3 linked regions of the Notamacropus eugenii genome follow. The protein of the gene in region 2 interacts with the protein of the main gene of each other region in a pairwise test. Links are inferred from orthologs where the notes say so. Each region holds a gene or a part of one and is shown on either strand. Other genes may lie near its edges.

Region 1 (7,574 bases), about 260 Mb from region 2:
GGCACTGAGTAGGGACGGTAGGAAGACAAAAATGAAAACAGTCTGTGCTGACCCACTCAGCTCCTCCTCCACCTCTTCTGATGGACAGCAGGGCTCCCACCTCTCTCCCATTCTCGAGGCACTCTGTGCCTTTTCATCAGCTCTCCTGGGCTCAATGACTTTCTGCACGTGACCCCCCCCCCCCCCCCAGTCTCTCTCCTGTGCTCCCATCCTGCGTATGGGATATTTCCAACTCTATGGCCCCCAGAGGCCAAACTTCCTTGCACCCATCCAGGAAGGACACCACCAGCCACCCTCCCAGTCCAAAACTGCCACCAAGCCAAACTCCTCTCTTCACTCTCGTCAGCCCATCCAGACAATCACCCAGTCCTGTCAGTGCTACCCTCAAAACTTTTCTCCAAACTGTCTCTTCCTCTGCAGGCACAGAAATCACCCTAGCTTAGGCTCTCAGTACTAACAGTGCCTTAACATTTGCAAACCACCTTATGTGTTGTCTCCTCACCTGGACTACTGCAGTAAACTAAGTGGTTTCTATTTCCCTTTCCAACCCATCCTAGAGAGGACAGGTCTGATGCATCTCCCTGCCAAGGACTTTTCATGACTCTTTAGGACAGAATACAAACTCTTCTGTTGAGCACTGCAAATCCTTCCCAATGGTTTCACCTAACCTTGCCAGGCTGATGATACATTACCTATTCTAGCCCACCTGGCCTCCATGCTTTTCGTGACAATCTCTGCCTGCCTTTGCCAGGTTACCCAATCTTCCCTGCACAACCACTTTGTGTTTACTTGGGATAATAGATTTAAACCTGCAAGTGACCTCAGAAGCCAATTAGTCCTACCCTACTTCATTTCTCAGGTGAGGAAACGGAGGTAGGAAAGGGTTAAGTGCCTTGCCCAGGGTCAGAGAGCTAATGAGTATCTACCTAGGATCTGAATCAATCCTCCTGAATCCTACCATTCTGCCTAGTAGACAGTACCTGGGCACATACTAGGTAATTAATAAAGAAGTTGAATAATCATTCACCTAACAAGCAGTTCATTAAGACTGTCTAATGTGAGAGATACCCACTCTGCCTCCCAACCCTATAGGAGGTGGCATGGGGGGGGGGGGGGGGGAACAAACACCAAAAAGGCCTGCAACAAGGAAATGGAATGCCTAGTTAAGGGAACTTCAAGTAGGTCAATCTGGTTGAAAAGTGGAATGTGTCAAGGGTAATAAGAATTTCAGTCTAGAGTGGCATCTGGCAAAGCTTTAAATACCCAAATGAGTTTGTGTTTTATCCTAATAGGAATAAGGGACCAACCAATGAAGGCTGCTGAGCAGAACAGGGCAGATCAGACGTGTGCTCAAAAGAAGCTTCTTCTGGCAGCTGTTTGAAGGATGCCTCGGCATAATCATGGATATCCACTATCCCTGAAGTTGGAATTCATTATAATTAAGGATTGCTGGGTAAATTTGTTTGGCATCTCAGAGAAGTAGAATTTGAGGAACAGGATGTACTGTAATCTTGCCCCTCCTCTTAAAGATGAGTAAATGATGACCCTGGAAAGGTGAAATCACTTGGCTAAGACTCCACAGCATGGCACATCAGGAAGAGAGATGCTGAGCCCCAGGCTTTCCCCATTTCATCCTACTGTACTAGCAGTGATTGTTCAGAGAAACAAGGAGGCTTCTAAAATGCCTCCTCTGCACAAGATCTAGGAGAACCTCAGCCAAGCAGGGCACAGAGCAAGAAGGCTGGGAAAGGGTGCGACAGGGCCTCCACTCCACTGTGTCCCAGTCCAGTTGGGGAAACTACCTCCTGAAGGAATTCCTGGCATGTTTTGTCTACCCCTTTATGCTCTCTTTGTAACAGAGGATGAGTCCCAAACTCCTGGGCTTCTGTCATGCTTTTAGCAACGCCTGGTTAGCAGGCAAGAATAAGCAAGGTGGACCGACAGCGTGAAGGAAAGCTAGAGAGAGGAAACCAGGGCGGGACAGGAATTAAAAGACCAGATTGTAGAGACAAAGCCTGGGCAGGAAAAAAGGGGGGGAGGGGGGAGAAGACAAATGGCAAGGGTGAAGATCGAAAAGGCTGAGAAAACACAAGGGAATAAGATGGAAAAGAGGAAAACCTGCGCTCAACTAGAGCATTACTTCTAATTTAGGTGCATATTAAAAAAATTAGTACTTGCCAAAAAAACAAGACCAATCCTCCCGGCTTTTGTGCTTTTTCCTCCAAAGCAGCCGACAGCCACAAACTGTGTTTATTTTTTTACAGTTAATCATGGCGAGTGAAGAACACGATTTCTATAAAAAAGGCCCGATTTCAGTAATCAGATATGAGCAGGAAATTAATAATTGCCCGGAAGTCCTTAATCCGAAGGCCTATCTAAGCCAGTTAACGCGGACGCTGCCTTCCACAATCACCGAGACTCAGGAAAGGAAAGCGCAGCGTTCGGTTTACCTCCCTTCCGAGGATCCACAGCCCGGGGCTAGGGATCCGCCCCCAGGACGCCCCCAGGGGCAAAGGAAACCTTATCTGCGCCCGCCATCGCCCCCCCCCGCCCCAATCCCCCTCGTCCCCCATTCATTCAACTCTCACAAGAACATCAAAGGACTTTTTCGACCCAACCAAACTCGAACCATTCGCGGCCCTCTAATTACCCCCCCATCCTGACGGTGACCTCGGCAGATCCTTCCCCTTTGGATAAAGCCTCGGGTCCCCCCCTCCCCCTCCAACCTTCGATCCCAGGCCTCGACCCCCAAGGAGACTGAGCCCCCCCAACTCCCGGACCAGCGTAGACTGGGCCCAACCCGGGATGAGGGAGGGGGGAAGCTCCGGAAATGTGCAAAGGGGGCGGGGCTTCACGCCCCCGGGCTGACCTCTCCGACCCTCGTCTTCGCTCCCGCTCCCCTTCCCCCTTCCGTTCCCCCCCCCCCCCCCGCAGGGCTCCGACCAGGCCTGAGTCTCCCGAGGGGCCACCGCGACCCCCCCCCACAATTACACGGGTTCCTCGGTCCCAGGCCTCGTCCAACCAGGCCCCGAGCCAAGGGGAGCCGCCCCAGCCAGGAGGGGAGGGCAGGCGGGGAGGGGGGGGGCCGGACCAACTCCAGACAGGGGTTCGAATCCGCATCATTCACGGCCTCCAGGAGCCCAGACTCGGAGGCTGGGGGGGATCCCAAACTAGACTGAGGGGAAGAAAGCACCTCGTGGCCCCTCAGGGACTCTCGGACGCCCGGCTCCGCCTCCGCCCTCGCAGGACCCGCCGAGGACAATGGCCTCAGCAGGCCCCACCTGGCAGGGGGAGGGGGAGCGATAGGGCGGAGGCGGGGCCACAGCGGGGCGGGGCTGACACCTTCACCTAGCCCGGCGGCGGCGGCGGCGGAAGCCCCGCCCCCCGGCCCCGCCGGCCAATCCGAGCGCGCCGCCGCCGAGCCTGCGCTCGAGTCCCAGGACAGGGCCCAGCCGGCGCGCGACCCCAGCTCGGCCCCGGCCCGAGCCCAGAGCGCGCGACCCCTGTCGCCCCAGCCAATCAGGGAGGGGTGAGAAGCAAGGACACCCCCCCCCCCTCCCCCACCCCTACCCCTACCCCCCCAACACACGCACGCACACCTCCCTCTCTCCGCTAACTCCGGCGCGCGCGCGCAGGGCCTTCTCCGCCCCCAACCCCCATGCTCCGCGCGCACTTCCCCACGCGCGCGTCCCCGAGGCTCGCGCGTCCAACCGTCGCCCCTCGCAACCCCCCCACCCCGCCCCCACCCCGGGGCCCGGAGCCCGGGACCCGAGGCGGGGGGAGTCGACGGTCACCCCCACACACAATAACCACCCCTCCGTTAAACTGCCCCCGTGTCTGTTCCGCGGCAGCGGAGGAGGTGACGACCGCGGCCCCGAGCTAGGCCAGGCTGGGCCCGGCAGGGCCGAAGGGGCCTCGGACTCACCCGATGCAGCGGCAGCCGCGGTAGCAGCAGCAGCGACGGCGGGGACGGCGGCGGCGCCGGGCAGCCCCGAGGCGCGGAGAGAGGAGGCGGGGGAGGGCTCGGGGCGCCGATCAGGCCGAGCCGGGGGCGGGGGCGTCCGGTCTCGCTCACGGGCTGGCCGGTCCTGCCTGCGCCTGGGGCTGGGGCTGGGGCCGTCGCTGGCGCCGTCGCCGCCGCGCTCCTGTCACCGCCGCATGGCCGCCCCCGGCAGGGCCCACGCTCCGCGCACAGCTGGCCTGAGCGCCCGAAAGGCGGAGGAGCAGAGCGCGGCGGGCGGGAGGCGGCCGGAGAGGGGGCGCGCGAGGTGGGGGCCCGCGGCGGTCTGTGGCCCCTGTTGTCCGCTCTCCTCCTCCTCCTCCTCCTCCTCCTCCTCAGCTCGCTCTTTTTTTTTTTTTTTTTTTTTTGTTCCTAGAGAGCCCGCTGCGCATGCGCACCCGCCGCACCGCACCGCGGGAGTCGTAGTCTTCCGGGCCTTGCCCACCAGGCCGAGGGCGGCGGGGCCGGACTACGACTCCCAGGGTGCACCGCGAGGGCGAGCCCCGAACTCGGGGACGGGGCGAGAGCGAGCGGCGCTGGCCCGCCCGGACGAGGGCTGTCAATGGAGGAGCAGAGCAGGAGGAGCCGGGGACGAACATGGCTGCGGCTGCTGCTGCTGCAGCTGCACCTGGGGCCTGCTCGGCTGCACAGAAGGGGGGGGGGGGCGAGGGGGAGGGGAACCCCGGCTCGGCTGTGCTCGGCCCTGCTCGACCCTCGCGTGGCCGCCCCGCTCCTCCCGAGGCCCCCACGGCCGCTCCCCGACACAAAGAGCGGCTCCCGCCGCTGCGGCACGACGGGGCCTCCGGGGCCGGCGCGCCCCCGCCCGCCCGGGCACCACCAAGTTTAGAAAAGAAGGAAATCAAGTAATGCGAGCTTGCGCGCCGGGCCGAGGCCTGCGCCCCGGGCTCGCGGGCCTCCCTTTGTGCGGCCCCGGCCCAAGAACGTGGCGAGCGGCAGCCCGGCGGCCGAGCGCCCGGCCAGGCCCGCCGGGCTCCAGCCTGCCCCGGGCCCCGGGCCCTGAGCCTCGAGCCTCGAGGAGCGTGCGCGGCCCCCAAGCGGGACGCGGGATCCGGGCCCCGCAGCGCTCCCTTTTCGTTACCCAACCCAGGCGTCCGCTTGGCCTCGGTTTGTCCGTCTGTGAAATGGCCCAAGGGCAGCTCTGAAGGCGAGCTCGAGTGGCCGGGTCGTGGGCGCTGGACCTGGGCCGTCCTCAGAGTGGTTACCGTGCCCGCCTCGCCAAAGTAAATCAGCGATTGCTCTAAGTTGTGGATTTCTGAAAGGGAGTGTGGACGAGCTTGCTCCCTCGGCCAGCGTCGTGTTTACTTATAAACACCTCAGTAAGAGGCGAAAGTAGCAGCTCTGGCTTTTACCTTGATGTCCCCGTGCCTAGCGCGGTGCCCGGCCTCCATCGGGCACTGGACACAGCCCGGCTGGCCCGTCCGGGACGAGGGCTGGTGCCCCATGGACCTGCCCCGGGGTTGGCTTGGTTGGTTTTTTTTCCGGAGGTGATTTCCAGGCTTGCTCTCAAACGAGATAAAGACACCGCCTGCTGTCTCAGTGAAGGCAGCGCTGCGGGGCGAGGGTGGGCCTGCTAACGCTGCCGCTGTGACGGCCGGGGGTCCTTTGCTGCACCGCTCTGGGGGGGCCGCCTCCCCAGATCCCCGCAGGAACCTTTCAGATTACCGGAGGCGGCTGAGACAAAATCTCCCGAGAATTAGAATTTGAAAATGGATTTGCAGGAAGATAAGATTTAAATCCCGCACTGCCGTGTCCCATTGGGTGGATCATGCACAGGTAGCAGATGTGGCACAACATTATGAAGAGTGCGGTTGGAGAACCGGGAAAACGAGCCTGCACTGTGAAGTTACGGAAAGGAAAAGCCTAGTTCTCCATGTTCAACCCTTGACGTTTACTCTCCTGCATGGACTGGGCTTCCTCTCAAGCTTTCCGAATTGTTCCAGCTCTGAGTTCCTTTATTCCAGATCTGCAATATACATATGCACATATAAGTAGTTTCACATACACTCGCGTCTGAAAATGCCTTTTGTTCTGATAAGGCACGCTGGTTGTGGCGTGTGAAGAGCTGGTAATTGACTAGGTTCTCGTGTGAAGAGCTGGTAATTGACTAGATTGGTTCTGCAAGCACTCACTGAGCCCCTCCTAGATGCCAGTCATTGCCCTGCACGCTCGGGATGCAGAGACCAAAAGAAAGGGAATACCCCTTGCCCTCAGAGTTCTCACCCTGGACACTGGACAAGCAACACATAAACAGAAAAGTAAATACCAAACACATGTAGGTGTGCACAAATAGAAAATGTACACCAAGCTCCAACTCCGATAGAACAAGTTGGAGAAGCTTCAAAGAGATTGGTTTAGATCTACCTGGTGAAAGGTACTTGCTTCCTCCGTGGTTAGGGGAACTCAGAGAGAGACCTGTAACCTGCGATGAAGTTGAAAGGGGGGGGGGGGGGGAAGTTTCTTAGGAAATATTGAGGAGAAGTCAAATAGAGAAGGATCTGGCCCAGAAAAGATAAAAGAGATCCAGTACCAATGAAATCCCTAAAACATTCATTCAATGCACAAGACCCTTTACTAAGTGTTGTGGGGGATACAAGGCGCTTAAGACATGTTCCATATCCTCCAGAAGCTTGAAATATAATAAAGACAAAAGACATAATTAAGGATACAAGGTTCACCAGAATAAATGCCCTAAGAATTAGAAACAAGTAAATAGGGGAGTTTTGAGGAAGGAAAGATTACTTCTGTTTGAGTGATAGGGAAGGCCTCCTTCCAGAGACAGCATTTAAGCTAGGTCTTGAAGGACAGAAGTTCTGCTGTCTAAGAATGTGAGCAGCAGGCCCGCCCTACAGTGTCCTGTCTCTCACCTCTTTTCAGTTCAACCCTATTCCCCAGGCCTACTTTAGCCCTGCCCACTTCTCTCAGTTCATTCCATGGTGCCCTTTGGATTCTCCACCATAGACATCATTCTGACAAACTTCCCTTTATCCTCAGTTTTTGCCTTGAGTGCTCTTTCAGCCTCTTTAATTGAAACCAGGTTTTCCCCGGAGGACACCAAAGCTCTCATAACTCTCTCGGTTAGAGGCCTCTTTCCTAGTCCCCCAGACTTATACTACTACCAGGAGGAGGGCTTACCATATTTATTCCTTTTAATTCAGTTCAATTATCGTTTGTTAAGCACCTACTCTGTGCAAGGAACCATGTGCTAGGAAAGTACCTGCCCACAAAGACTTTCCATTCTGCTGGGCCAGGAGGGACAAGAAGGCTATAAAATATAAACAGATTGTGGCACATAGTAAGCCCTTAAGAAGTGTTTATATTGATCTTAAATTAGAAAAGGCTTTCTAGAGAAGGTGACACTCGACCCAAACTTTGAAAGAAGCCAGGAATTCTAAGAAGTGGGAATGAAAAGGGGGAGCCTTCCCTGTTCAAGCCCAGTGGGGAGACCTGTCATGTCATGTCTGGGGAACAACATATTAGCCAATCTGGCTAGAAAAGTAAGCAAGAAATGATATTAAATAAACCTAGAGACATATGGTGAAGAGTTTTAAATGTC
Region 2 (7,724 bases):
CACATCACAGAGGAGGTGGCAGGTGAATTGAGCCTTGAGTACAAGGATGCCAGAAGGGGAAGGAAGGAGCACATACCAGGATACCAGGAAAGGGGGACCTAGAGGAAAGATCACAGCCCAGTTTGGCTGGATCACAGAATGTAGGAAAGGAAGTAAACTAAGTAACTAAAATAAGCTAAGAGGAGAAAGATAAAGTGAAATCAGATTGCGGACTCTCAAGCGCCTCACTGATGAGCACTTATTTCATCCTAGAGACCACAGGGTTCCACCAAAGGGTTTCTGAGTAAAGGGGGGACATGGTCAGAGATAGATGGGAATGAATTAAAATAATAAATTAAATAAAATTAACATGATTTGACAGCTGATTAGAAATGTAGGAGCAGGGGAGAAAAGGGAATCAAGGATGAAAGAAGGAAGCAAGCCTTTGTTAAGGACCTATTAGTGCAAAGTGCCATCCTAAATGCTTTACAAACTATCCCGTATGAATCTCACAACAACCTTGGGAGGTAAGTACTATTATTATCCTCATTTCAGAGATGAGGAAACCAACCAAGGTTGAGTGACTTGCCCAGGGTCACACAGCTAGTAAGTGTCAGAGGCTGGATTTGAACTGAGGTTTTCCTGACTCCAGGCCCAACACTCTATATACTACAGAACCCTGCTAGCAGTCACTAAGATGACCATAAAGTTAACACCTATGGGTGACAGGGAGGAGAGAGGTAGATTTTGTCACTTGGGAGAGGTGGGTTTTGAAGGGAAGACAATTCAATAAATGTTAAGTGCATGCTATCAAGAAACCGAGCAGTATGCCTTCATTATTATCTCAGAGAAGAACAGGGATGAAGATACAAAAACTAAAGGGACTTGTGTTCTACCGCAGAATAAAATAGCCACTGGTTAAGTAAACAGTGGAGACAGCATTAGCAACTATGAGTAAGAAAGGTTTCTGGGAGAAGACAACGAGATGAAGAGAGAACATGTTCCAGAAATGGAAGCCTGGCTATGCCAAAGCACAGGGGTAGAAGTTGGAGCTGGAAGTACTGACCACATCCAGGAGGCTACACAAGCCCAGACAGAGATCAGACCTAATCAGATCTGGGAGTCATCTGCATAGGTGGTAACTGAATTCCTGGAAATGGGTCAAACAACCAAGAAAATATAGAGGGAGACAAGAGGGACATATAGCAGAATGTCAAATCAACAAGCTTGCATTAACCTCCCACTCTCTGGCAGGCATGTGCTAAGTAATGGGGATACAAAAGAAAGACAAACAGTCCCTATCTAATGGGGGAGACACAAGCCAACAACTATGTGCAGACAAGCCATGGGGAGGATAAATAGGAAAGAACCAACAAAGGAAAGGCACTGGCATAAGGGTAATCAGGGAAGGTTTCTTTAGCTGAGACCTGAAGGAAGTCAGAGGGGCAAGACAGGAGGAGGAAGAGCATTTCAGGGGTGGGAAACATCTAGTGAAAATGCCCAGAGCTGGGAGATGCAGAGTCCTGTGCAGAGAACAGCGAGGCAGCCAGTGTCACTGGATGGAAAAGGACAGTGGGGGAAGGGAGTGGTGTGTCCATGGTGGTGCCTGAGGGGTGGGTTATAAAGGGCTCTGAAAGCCAAAAAGAGGATTTTATACTTGATGGGGGAGATGACAGAGTTTACTGAATATGGGTGGTGATCTGGTCAGACCTGCACTTAAGGAAAATCATTTTGACAGCTGCGTGGGGAGACCTGAAGCAGGCAGAGGCACCAGGAAGCTATTCCAATAGCCCAGGCAGGAGGTGATGAAGGCCTGCTCTAGAGAGGTGACACTGTCATTAGAAAGGAGAAAGCATAAGAAAGATCTTATGAAGGTAAAAATGACAGGAGTTGGGAATGACTGGATATGGTGAGGGTGAGAGAGAGGGGGGTTGAGGATGACACACACCCCAGGTTGTGAGCCTGAGTGACTGGGAGGATGGTGAAACCCCTCCCTTGGGGGTAGGTAGGGGCTGTCTCACTTTGTAAAAGGGATCCTAAGATCACAGAATGCTGAGGCACCTCAGAGTAGTACAGACAGCCTCAGAACCAGGAAGGTTCAAATCCACTTTGATACACACCGGCTTCATCACCCTGGGTGAGTCACTTCACTCAAATTAGTGTCGTTAGGAGGCATGTAAGTCGGAGTAGCTCATCTCCACGGGTAGAGAAAATTCCTTACCCAAAGCTCTCTTACAAGTCAGAAAAAGATGATATAAAAAATCTCGCCCATGATGACAGCTTGCGTTTACACAGCACTGAAGGTTTACGACACGCTTTCTACATGCTGTATCATTTCATCCTCACCTCACCCTGGTGAACTGCGTGCCATTTTACAGGGGAGGAAACTGAGGCTGAGAGAAGTTAAATGACTCCTCCCGGGTCATTCTGCCGGTGAGTGTCCGAGGCAGGATGCAAACTCAGGTCTTCCGGACCCGACGTTCCCCAGTCTATCCACAGTGACAATTACGTGCCTATGGGTGGCTGAGGGCCTCCAGCCGTGAAGTTTCCCGCTCTGCCCACAGACCGGGGATCGGAAGAGGGGGAGGGCACTGGTTCTTCGGCCTCTGCGCGCCGCGGATCTTTACCCGAGTTTTTAAACGTAAGAGATAAAAGAGGGATTACAAAGAAAACGCCGCGCTCAGTAGGTCGCTTGTCCCCACCCCGATCACCGAGCTCAGAAATCCTCGTGCGCGGGCCGGCCGCCAGACGCGGAGCCAAGGTGCCCGGGTCGGAGAACTCGGGCGATCCTTGCCCTCAGGGTTCTCAAGGCTTGGGGGAGTACGGGGAGAAAGGGGGCCCCCACGAGCCCCGGAGCCCGGCCTGGAACCGCGGAGGCAGAAGCGCCGCGTGAGCAGCCTCTGAATCTGACCAAGCCTCTGCGGGCGGGCCCGCGACACCCGGCCACGTGAGCCCCGAGGAGGGGAGGGATGAAGAGGAGAAGGGATCCAGGCAGCGGAACCAGGCAGCGACGCCGCGCGCACTAGGGCGGCCCAACGCGCCGCAACTCACCCCCGGCTCCTCGCAGAACGCCCGGAGCTCCTCGCCACTGCGCAGACGCGGCCACCGGCGAGCCGTTTCCGGCGGGACAGCCAATCGGGACCTAGCAGACCTGTCACGTGAGGCGTCGGTCCCGCCTACCACGCTGGAGTTCCTCCACCCACTCTGCTGTCTTCAGTCTGCTTGGCTTGATCCCGCTTCCGTAGCCCATCCCCGAGCTTCTGGCTGGGGAGTCCGGCCCCCAAGGAGGCGGGGATGGAGGCGGGCCTAAAAGCCCCCCCCCCCGAGGTCTCCAGGCCACGCCCCCTGCACAATTTCATTTCATTTCATTTATTCATGGATTTGTTTTATTTATTATTTTATTTATATTCTAAATGTGACCAGGATCAACGACCATGGAGGCGGGATTTCAACAATCTGGCTGATTCTAGTCCTTTCCCTGCCAAGTCAAGTCAATGGGCATTGATTAAGCATCTACTGTGTGCCCCCAACTGCCCTAAGACAGCCCCAGCTCTCCAGGGAAACCGCGTGCAGACGACTGTGTTGGCAGCTAGTAGGTCCACTGGACCTGGAATCCCGAAGTCACTGTTTTCCAGTGGTGTCTGATTCTCTGGGACCCCCTGGGGCTTTCTTGGTAAAAATCCTGGAGGGGTTCGCCATCCCCTTCCCCAGATGAGGAACTGAGACAAACAAGGTTCAGTGACTTGGCCAGGGTCACACAGAGAGTGTCTGAGGTCACATCTGAACTCAGGTCTTCTTGACTTCAGGTCCTGCACTCTATCCAATTCTCCATCTCGATGAAGGTGGACCTGAGTTCAAATTTGACCGCAGATACTCGCTGTGTGACCCTGGACAAGTCACTTAACCCTGTTTGCTTCAGTTTCTTCAGCTGTAAAATAGGGCTAATACAAGTACCCACCTCACAGGATTGTTGTGAGGATCACATGAGATGTAAGAAATTCTTAGCATCGTGTCTGGGATGTAGTAGGTGCTTAATAAATACTCATTCTTTCACCTATGTACAAAAATATCTACAAGCCAAATTGGAGATAACAAACACGAGGCTCTGTCTTCTCTCTGAAATAAAGAAGATGGACAAGGTGGTCTTTAAAGACTTTCCCAGGTCTATAATGATGCTTTAGGATAATGGAAGTCTTTGGAGAGGTTGCCTTCAAAGCCCCCTTTCAGCCCCCTCCCCAAGAGCATCTATTTTCTGTAAGGATTACCACTTCTCTCTTCTACCCCCACCCTCACCCCTACCTCACCCTCACCCCCATCTCCACCCAGTAATCATGCTTCTTAGATGCCAAGATGTAGAAATAATTACAATAGCACCTCTTTATCAAGAATAGCTAGTTAATTATTAACTAACTTTTATTAGTTATCAGTTTTTTATTAGTTATTAATTAACTAATAGTAGTTATCAAATGGTCTGATGACTAGAGATGAATGGACAGTTTCCCTGGGAGCAGCCTGGTGGTGTCTATCTTTCTCCCCAAAGAAGAATGTTAAACCTAACCTAACTAAGAGCACCTCCTTCTCCAAGCATAACTGCTCAATTGCCCCAATTGCAAAACCTAATTGAGGCTCTGCAGCCATCTGACTTACACTTTGATTAGGGGATACAAGCAAAGACAAAAGACAATCCTGTTTTCAAGAAGCTTAGAGTCTAATTTGTTACTAGAAGTTAATATAACAGACAGAACTGAGGAAATGTGTTCAGGGACAAGAATTCCCTTACTACCTCTATCACTTCAAAAGTCTATTCCTGTAGCACAGAACTCCACTTTCTCTATACCCCACTTTGTTAAGACGAATTTTGCCCCCAGAGATTTATTAATCCATATTAACAATGTGGTGTAGAGGAAAGAGCACTAGATAGAAAGTTAAAGACCTGCACTCTATCCCTGTTTCTACCTTAGACTTTCATTTCACTTCTCTAGGGAGAATAAGCAAATGGACAAGGGCTGGTTGTCTGAATCTATAAATCTAAAGATTAACCCACTGAAGCTCAGATCCTAGAGAAAAAATTTCTCAGGATACAGTTGCCATTGTCTGAGAATAGGAAAGGGTATAGCATTCAGGTGGATTTCTGATTTTGAATAAAACAGTCACATAAACTGAAATTATAAATATAACCCTAACCTTCTATTTATTATAAAACAACTATATTTTCACTCTTTCGAAATCATTTCTTCCTATGTTAAAGCAGTAGACTAAACCAATGGGAAACAAAAGTCTGTCATTTCCATATCATTCAGAGAATCATTGTCAAATGATGAGTACTGAAAGCATTTCACGTAAAAGGCTTCAAAGAGTTGACTAGAGACATACACCAGTCTATGGAAAGTATCCCCTATACATACTTTTGCCGTTTTCTTCAGATATAGACTTGCCCAGTTTTGAAAAATGAACAAGGTAGTCTGAGTGCAAGGAAGATGCTACAAAAAGACTAAAATGAATCCAAAGCCAGGAATGGGGTGAGACCTAAGGCAAGAAGATATTGGTAATTGGACATTCAATTGTTTTGCTTTGGTGCTATGTGCCATCATATAATCCATCTTCTATGCCAACCTGGAAATTCCACCAAACATTTGTGAAATGTATAACAAAGCAAGTAGACCTGCTTGTATAGCAAAAAGTTTTTAGGAATACAATACTGAATTTTAAAAACTGAACTGAAACCTTGCAGAATACAAAGGAATGCAAGATGCATATAAATCTCTGCACATTAAATTTAAAAAGGTGGAAAGTATTTTTACATAGTCGGAGCTCTCAGTCCAACATAGGTAGTAAGTTTAGTCTAGGCTGCCCCATTGAAAACCCCGGTATTTTCTCATTTTTGCCTCATTCTGTCTTTGGCCTTACTAATCTTTTTCCCACATGGTTCTCTTGAGTCCTTATCAGCCTGCCTCAGCCTGTACATGTTATGAAGACTGGCAGACAAAACAGTGTCATCTTCTGCTTGTCTGGTGTCAGAGGATAGCAAGGTTATTTATGCCAGGTGACAGCTACCGAGACTCAGGCAAAGCCACGACATGAAACTTCCAAAAAGAAACAGCAGGTAACAATAATTTCCTCCTGTTTTGTGGTTTGTGTCTATAGCAGGAAAAGTTGCAAAGAGAAGAAAAAGTAAAAACTAGAATATGTGAGAAAGATATTTCCATGATCTGAGAATTTCATTCTGATTCCCTAGGTTAGGTGTTAACCTTAAATTTTACTATGTTACGGATGCCTTTTACAGATGGGTGAAACCTATGGACTCCTTGTCAGAATAATGCTAAGCTGAATAAAATAGAATGTATAAGATTATGAAAGAAATATGCCAGGTGTTTCAAAATTATCAAAGTTAAAGACTCTACTAAGATTTTGGGGTCCCCCATATTAGAATACAGATGTCAAAATATTAATTTTTTTTCAGAAATCTCAGGGTAAGAACTCTTTCCTTAGATTTAATTTTCATCGATTTCAGAGCTCTAAGGCTACATCTCTAGCTCATTCAAAATCAGAGTTGTAGAGTCTTTAGCAGAAACTTATGGACTTATATAAAATATCATGTTTGTATTATGATATTCACTTCGGCAAAATGCACTTAGCTTAGGTGACCTTTTTAATTTGTTGAAGTTCAAGTCGACTTATTCAAGTAAAGTAGAAAAGGGGTTAGAAAGGAATCTAGAGTCAGAGGAAGAGAAATACAATTTCTCTCTGCCCTTTTTTTCCTTCTCATAGACATTCAAATCATTCACGTGGCCCCTGTAGTAGAAGGAGGCCTAAGAAGGAAGAGGCTCTCTGTTCTTTCCAGAGTTTGATTTATATTTAAGGAAGGAAAATGGGTTCACTTTCTGGAAATATGTCTAGGAAACCTAAGTTAAATTTGCCACTTTTCATTGGACAGGTGATTAGGGAACAGGTCCTCACCTATAAAAGAGAGGAACTGGAGGGTTGCTTTTAACTAATCCCTATGGGGTAATCAGGAGGACCACCCGATCTGTTGGATCACAGCACTGGCCATACACTCTAGCCACTTTCTGTGGACCACTTGCTTCCTCTGGAACCTCAGTCAAGTACAAGGCCTAGTAAGTACCTAATTCTTATTATTCTTTCCCATACTAGATATTTCACTGCCTATCAAAGGGACAGGGATCCATGGTTCCATTCTTGTATGAGGAAATTTTCTTGTCCTTGATGAAAAGGAGAGAACTTAGTCAGTTTTCAAATGAGATAATTTCAAAGGAAATAATAAATAAATAATAAAGGAAAGCTTACAGAATTTGAGAATTATAGAATTCTCAAAAACTTCCATTTTTCCCTTATTTAAATGGTAAAACTCTAACCTATGATTCCCTCTAGTTCCTTGTGCCTTTCTCCCTTCATTTTTCTAAACAAGAGCATCTTCTAACTGATTCACTTGCTTTCTTCTTTGTTTTCAGCTTCTGTGTACTCTGATAACTTTCGGTTTATCTGCTAAGCTATCTGTCTCCTTAAATTGTTTTTTACTTTTTCCTGTGTCTGCTGTTGGCTTGTGCAGACATGATGCAGAGACAGCTGGGAATCTCAACAATATTATTGTGATGTTCACTCTGAAAAAGTAAAGGATATTGGCAAAGTCATTGGTGAATGTTGCTTTCTAGGCAGGTCTCATAAATGACTTACAGTGTTGGCATGGCATTAAAAATAATCTTTTGCCTTTACAGAAATTTTCTGGC
Region 3 (7,211 bases), on a different chromosome or scaffold from region 2:
CTGCTGAGTTATGTGACCTAATAAGATCACCAAGTTCAGAATTACAGAATAAAAGGATTTGAAGAACCTTCAATGGCCATATGGTCTAAAAGAATCCCCACTACTCAACAAGTGGTCAGCTTTTAAGCCTTTGATTAAAGACCTTCAAGGAGAGGGAAATTACTACCTCTCAAGGCAGCTCATTCCATTTCTGGACAGCTCTAATTGTTGAAAAATTTTCACAATCTCAAGCTGAAATCTGCCTCTTTCCAACCTCTACCCACACAGCTCCTAGTTCTTTCCTCTGGGGACAAATAGAACACATGACTACCCCTCAAATACTTGAACACATGCCTTCCTGAGTCTTCTTTTCTCCAGGGAAAACTGGTCCAGTTCTTTCAACTGATTCTCATTTGTCATAAACTGAAGAGTTCCTTCACCATCCTGATTGCCCTCTTTTGCTCACTTTGCAGCTTACAATGCCCTTCTTAACCCATGGTGCCCAGAACTGGACACAATATTCCAGATGAAGTCTGACAAAAACAGAGTACAGTGGGATTCATTCATCTTAATGTATATCTGGAGTAGGAATGATTGATAAGACAATGAGTTGAGACCAGAAATGAATGGATGGCACTTGAGTAACTGTATAGTCTTTACAAGAAACCCAAAATACTCCCCAGGACAAAAATGCATCATTTTTAACACACTCTCTCATAAGGCTAAATGGTTTGTTTCAAATCTCAAAACACCACAACATCTAAAAAGTCAAAGTTGCAAGTAATTCAAAGGGCAATGAAGAATTGCATGATGGACACAAGAAGCCTGTTCCCAACCATGAAATGTACAAGGCAAAAAGAACATCCAAAAAAATTCTACTTAAAAAAGGTGGAAGGACAATTAGACAAAACCACAAGTTTAGAAATTCTGCACGTTACATTACAATTTCTTTCCTTTGGCAAAAAAGAAACTGATTGATGCCACCATTAAATAGTAGATACCAAAAGTTTTCCTATTTTAACAACATACCAAAATGTCCTTGGGAAAAAAAATCTGCCACAGTTCCAACGGACTGAATACAATAGCTATCGTAACTAATTTGTTTCCTAAAAAGCAAAAATTTATTTTCACTAAAAAAAGAACAGCTGAATCAGGACAAAAGTACTCACAGGAAATATAATCTATAAAGTTGTCTCCTAATTCAAAGGCAAACAGAACTAAAGGCACAGGAAGATGATCCCACATTGGCTTCCTTTTCCTGAGGGTTCCAACTACATTTTCTTGTTTAATTGGCCATGTCCTTCTCTAGGTAAGAGACACGGCAATTGCTCCTTCAGTTGGAATCATAAAACTATGCATGTGGAAAGTGAAAAAAGGAGCAACAGACAGGAAAATCAAGAGAACACAAATACAAACACGCACTATTGGTGATGACCTTATCAAGCCAGGAGACACGAAAATTATTCTTTCTGTTCACAACATAAAACTGTGTGCAGAGGGAAAGGAGGGAAACTGGGAAAGGAAAAGCAACAGAGATGAGAAACCAAACCCATACACGCCTCTCTGGTGGTTCCAGAGAGGGAGATCACAGCAAGAGAATGGATATTAAAACAGGATCCGTGTCCTTCAGTGACACTGGTTTTTGCGAAACCCAGATAAGGATGAGCCAGGGAGAAAAGACTGAAAAACCTATGCCAGTGAGCAGTGAGTAGCTTTGCCAAGAAAACTGGGAAGGTTATGGCTTGGATTATCAAACCCCACCATGACTAGTGGAGGGGTGGGGGGAAGGGGAAGGCTCGTCCGGGAAGGATCCAGCGCCCCCAGCCCCGCAACACGCAGGGGGCGGGGTGGAGAAGAGGGAAGATAAGAGAAGAGGGTTGCTCTTTTCCCAGCCAGGTGTTGAGGCCCGATCAACCTGAAGCCCGATCCTTAAGACACCAAAATCACCCAACAAATCACCCTCGCCCGCCAGGGACTCCTAACTGCAAATCACCGCCAAGGTCTCTTCCTTCCAGGGGCTCCTCTGGGGCCCCGAACGCGCGGAGCCCACCCCTCACTCCGGCCCTGCCCGCCTCGGCGGCGACGAAGGACGACGAGAGAGAGAGAAGGGCAGGGCGCGGGGGAGCCCGGGCTCCGGGGATGGGCAGAGGCGCTGGGGGCCAAAGGCGGCCAGGGGGGTCGCTGCCCAAGTCTCCACCCGGGCGGCCGTGGCTCCCCGACCCGGCCCCGTCACCTCCCAGGGAGATCTCTCTCCCCACACACACACGCGCGCACACACACACACACACACACACACACACACACACAGGCCCCCCCCCCCCCCAGACACACACGCACACACACGCACGCACACACCCGCCGCCTCCACAGCTCCGCGATCCCGTCCTTTCTCTGCTCCTGCCCCCTCCCCCCACGGCCTCAGCCCACCGCCAGCTCGCCTTTCCCCCACCTCATCTCCGGGCGGGATCTGCGCGGTCCCAGGGAGAAATCAGTGCCGGGCACACGCCCCGGGGAGGGATGAAGACGCCGCCGCCGCACCGCACACCATCCCCTCCAGTCCGGGAGCTCTCTCGGGATTCTCCCTTCCGAGCCGCCGTACTCTGGAGCACCCAACTCTATCTATCTATCTATCTATCTATCTATCTATCTATCTATCTATCTATCTATCTATCTATCTATCTATCATCTATCTATCTATCAATCCATCATCTATCTTTCACCCTTCCCTTCAGTCTCGCGCGCTCTCCCCTCCTCCGCCTCGGTCTCTTTCTCTAAACCCCCACTCTACCCCCCAGTCCCGCTTGCACTCTCTCTACCTTGCTCCCCGCCCACAGATGTGGGGGGAAGGGAAGCAACCTCTCAATCCCGAGACTATGGCCCCTCCTACCTCCCGGGAAGGAGGACTCGGACGGTGGGCCGGGCAGGGAGAGGCGGGGAGTGAGAGGGGCGGACTTTTGCACGCCCCGCCTACCCCGGGAAAGGAGGAGGGAAATAATGACATCCAAATGGACCAATAGGAGCTCGGATTTGGAAGTTGGGGGGGTGGGCTCCGCGGCCAGAAGGGAGGGAGGGTTGATGTTAGGAACTGGGCGGGCTGGCATGGGTTGGGCTTTTCGGTGTAATCATTGCACAATCTCGGCCTTTTCACCTTATGTGATGCTGTCACATGCTACGTGGTGCCAGACTGAGTCTCTCTCTATGCTCCGTCACGGTAGCTATTAAATATATTTAGCTGGAAGGGACAGAAAAACCGCCATCGCCCAAAGGCAAGAAGGGCCTGGGGCTCAAGGGAGGGGCGGGGGATTAAGAAGGGCGTCTCCTTGACGACTCACTCAATTTGCATGAAATGGTCGCCTGAATCATGAGACCACAATGCCCAACATGCTTTCGTGAGCAAAGTCCTTCCCTCGCTTGCCGTGGCTCCTGGTGAAGCATGCTGGGAGACGTAGTCTCTTTTAGTTACCGTAGCGCTTTCCTTCCCACGCTACAAGCTGTAGCTGATAGACAGAGGGTATAGGGCCAATGGGGGCAAAGTGTTGGGTTTAGGGGCGGGCTTTAAAACGGAATGACCCGGGACTGAAGAGGACGTGGGGAGTGTGGGTTCCCAATTCTACTCAGGTATGTATCTTCAGCCACCTTACAGTCCTCCTTTCTGGCATGAGGAGGAAGTAGGTTACCGGGCTCGTGACGCGGCGTGGAGACTTTTGGGGAGGGAGGACGGCGGCCCGAAGCCGTTGACCGCCACGGCCCTAGTCCAGTGTTTGGGCCCCGACAGAGCGGACGCGAGTGACGAATTGGCGTTTACGGCAGATTTTTTCTCGATTTCGAACTAGAAAAGATCTGGGAGACCATTTAGTGCATGCACACATGCACACCCCTTACGGACGAGGAAACAGAGCCGGGGGAGTTAGGAGGCCCCATCTTGTTTGGTTTCCCCTTTTCCGCGGAAGAAAGCCTGGTGTATTTTCGGTTTGGACCTTGTCCGCTAGGGGGCGCGGTGGATCGTGTTGTCCCTGGCCTCGGGAGGACCTGAATTCCAATTCTACCTCCCACGTTTTCTGGCCTTGGGACCACCCGGGGCAAACGCCTTCGCCTCCGGTTTCTCAGCTCTAAAATGGGAATCGCCATAGCACCTTCCTCCCTGGGTGGTTGTGAGAATCGAATCAATCAGATATTTGTAAAGCATTTGGCCCCGTGCCTGGCATATAGTAAGTACTTAATAATGTGGGGGGGTTTTCCCTTCAACTTTTGTTTGCTTGTGATTCGAATAAAATTGAATTAACTTTTTTTCACCCTCTGTGGTCAATTGGCAGTATGTTGTTAGTATGGCATCTTAAATAGGTCCCCTTATCTCTTTGAGTCTCAGTTTCTTAGACAAAGGGATCGAGCTGTAAATGTTCCCGCAATGGGTGATTCTTTTTTATTGCCTCCTTGACTTAGGTTGTGTGACGTTTGAGAGCTTTTTTTTTTTTGCAGTCATCATTAACCAAAAGTCACAGGACCCCTATATAGCCTTGTTGTAGAGTGTATTATAATGGTCTAATACTGGGGGTGGGGGGGTTCCAGTCCTCACTTGTGATCTTTGTGTACAGAATTCTCTTTGTGAAAACTTTCCCAACTGATAGAGACGTCAGTCTTCTTCCTCAGTCTTGAAAGTTGGTTGGGGGAGTAAGGAAACAACTATTTATATTAGGTGATTACGCTATGCCAGGCACTGTGCATATTATCATCGAATATGAGGCTGGATTTGAATTCAGATCTTTCTCCCTCCAAGCCTAGCACCCTTATCCACTGCATCACCTGGTTGCCTTGCTGCTGGGAGCATTAAGAATTTAAGTGACAATCCTCATCCAATCACAGTTACTATGTATCAATTCTCTGTATATTTTAGAAATGAGACTTTTGTCAGAAACATTGTTTCCCAGCTTTCTGCTTTCCTTCTAATCTCGATTGCTTTGACTTTGTGCAAAAACTTTTTCATCTAATGTAATCAAAATTATCCATTTTGCATTTCATAATGTTTTCTATCTTGTTTGGTCATAAATTCTTCCCTTCTCTGTAGATCTGATAGATAAACTATTCCTTGCTCTCTTAATTTGCTTATGGTATCACCCTTTATGTCCAAATCATCGTACTTAGTGTGTGTACAGAGGCACTAACCACTGACTTTAGAATTTTCCTTGACCAGAGAGGTTTGTTGCCCGTCAGTGTTGACTTTGTTGGATATGTGGTTCTTTTGTCTCTAGTGTTTTTGTTTTGTGCCACTTCATGCCCCTCTGCTGGTGTTTGTCTGAATTGTTTTTGTATTTTTCTTTCCTTACCTCTTAGTAGTGCACTATTCCTTATCATCCCTATTTTTTATGCCATATTTGTTAGGTTTTACTTGATTGTTTAACGTATACATTGTTTCCAGTATTTTATTAGAAAAATAATACTTTGAGAAAAGGTTTTATGCATGGGGCCTTTAGTTTCCATCACTACCCCTGGAGTACCAATCTGAGTCAAGGGGTATTCACAATTAGGTAACTTTTCTAGCATAATTCTAAATTATTTTCAAGAATAGTTGAACGCCTTTACAGCTCTACCAACAGTGAAATAAGCATACCATTTTCCTACAGTTCTTTTAACAATATATTTTCCAGTCATTTAGCAGCTCAGAAATCAGTTTTTGAAGACCCGTATATTATGCAATAAGACTACTCACTATATAAGCCTAAACAGTCTGGCGCACAAGATTTTCATCCTGAGATTTCCTTTACCTCATTTACAGTTATGCTTAATTTCTCCTTACATATATGTATTCATCACCCAATTTCTGCTATAGACAAGTATTTCTGATCTTTAGCTTACAAAATGAGAGCTAGAGGTATGGACAAAGTATTATGCTAAAAATGGAAACTGTGGCATAAACCTGGTCAGCAGTGTTCTTTGTAAAAAACTGGACTGCCTCTAGTTTAAAGTACAATCATTTATATAATTTTGCCACTTTCTTCTGGAGTCAGATACTATGTAGGAAAATATACTTGAGAAACTGATAAAACTGTTCCACTCATAATCAGAAATAGACTAGATTTATTTTTACTAGGTGTTTATTGCTTTGAATAGCAAAAAAAGTATATAAAAATTCTTAAACTAATACTTGGCTGCAAATTAGAAAGTCTAGAGTGCAAATTCTGCCTCAGCTTACTCACTATATTACCTTAGGCAAGTCACTTAACTTCCATGAACCTGTTTCCCCAAATATAAAATTGGTATAATAATAGTGCCTACTACACTGGGTTTATATAAATCTCAGATTTTACTTGGTAATGCTGAATTACCAGTTTAGTAGTGAATCTGTAATTCAATAATTGTGTGATAGCAAACACCTTCTTTCCCCCTTTGAACTGTACATATGGATTTCAAAGATGTTATTAGACTCAAAAATTCCATCTGTTCAGTGAACATTTTTATCCAAAGAAAAAGAATTTTCTTGGGAAAGAAATAATTTAAATACAAACAAGTCAGAGTATGAGCATGTGGCATGTGAATTATTTTCAGTTTTCATTAATTATAAAAATATTTATTTGACCATTTTTACCTACTGAAAGTTTTTCATTCCTTTGTAAATATTTTGTCATTCTTATAACTCATTTTTGCAACCCAAACAAGAGAATTAAATTATTTCCTCTTACAGTAAGCTAAGAATTAAAATCAGAAGTCTTGAACCACATCCATGTTAGATGCTTCTGGGAGATTGAAAAGGTTTATTAGCTTTGCTTTGATAACGCTGATGAATCTATGATTTCATTGAAACAGGTATTCTAACAGTACAAATTGCAGCCCATCTGTAACCTCTCAGCCTATGCTACTCTTGTCTGTGACCGTCCATAAATTCTCCTTAGAAAAGAACCAAGCATTCTGGGGACTTTCTTCTCTTTCTCTTGATACTTCATGAATACCAGTACAGCACTGGAGCTGGTCAGTTAATATCCTTCATTATATGGACCCATCTCTTTTTCCAGTTAGACACCTTTTGGATGATCTCCTTCATGCCATTTCTTAAGAATGGCCTTCATTGGCATGTAAAGTTTACTCGTACTCCCCTTGTGCCTGTACATTTCCTTTGGGTAACCCCAAATTTTAATTCTTCAGAGACTTTAGTATCCCATGACTCAACGCTGCTGTATAGCATCAACAGAAAATTAGTGGTATTAAAAAGATGCTGTTCTCTGAAATATTAAAAGCCCTGA

The links. The genes of interacting proteins can lie anywhere in the genome.
Region 1: the proteins of AP2B1 (region 2) and GTF2I interact in binary tests that used the Homo sapiens proteins (3 or more experiments, as listed by UniProt). The link is inferred for Notamacropus eugenii from reciprocal best matches to the Homo sapiens genes AP2B1 and GTF2I.
Region 3: the proteins of AP2B1 (region 2) and ITSN1 interact in binary tests that used the Homo sapiens proteins (3 or more experiments, as listed by UniProt). The link is inferred for Notamacropus eugenii from reciprocal best matches to the Homo sapiens genes AP2B1 and ITSN1.

Annotation. Positions count from the first base shown.
Region 1 is NC_092873.1:48,620,150-48,627,723, forward strand, and holds the start of GTF2I (general transcription factor II-I), read right to left. Parts: upstream 3,259-7,574; 5' UTR 3,194-3,258; intron 2,294-3,193; 5' UTR 2,273-2,293; coding exon 2,179-2,272; intron 1-2,178. UniProt on the Homo sapiens protein: Interacts with the basal transcription machinery by coordinating the formation of a multiprotein complex at the C-FOS promoter, and linking specific signal responsive activator complexes.
Region 2 is NC_092873.1:307,739,111-307,746,834, forward strand, and holds the start of AP2B1 (AP-2 complex subunit beta), read right to left. Parts: upstream 3,113-7,724; 5' UTR 3,031-3,112; intron 1-3,030. UniProt on the Homo sapiens protein: Component of the adaptor protein complex 2 (AP-2). Adaptor protein complexes function in protein transport via transport vesicles in different membrane traffic pathways.
Region 3 is NC_092876.1:425,621,387-425,628,597, forward strand, and holds the start of ITSN1 (intersectin-1), read right to left. Parts: upstream 3,259-7,211; 5' UTR 3,128-3,258; intron 3,107-3,127; exon of another isoform or gene 2,429-3,106; intron 1-2,428. UniProt on the Homo sapiens protein: Adapter protein that provides a link between the endocytic membrane traffic and the actin assembly machinery. Acts as a guanine nucleotide exchange factor (GEF) for CDC42, and thereby stimulates actin nucleation mediated by WASL and the ARP2/3 complex.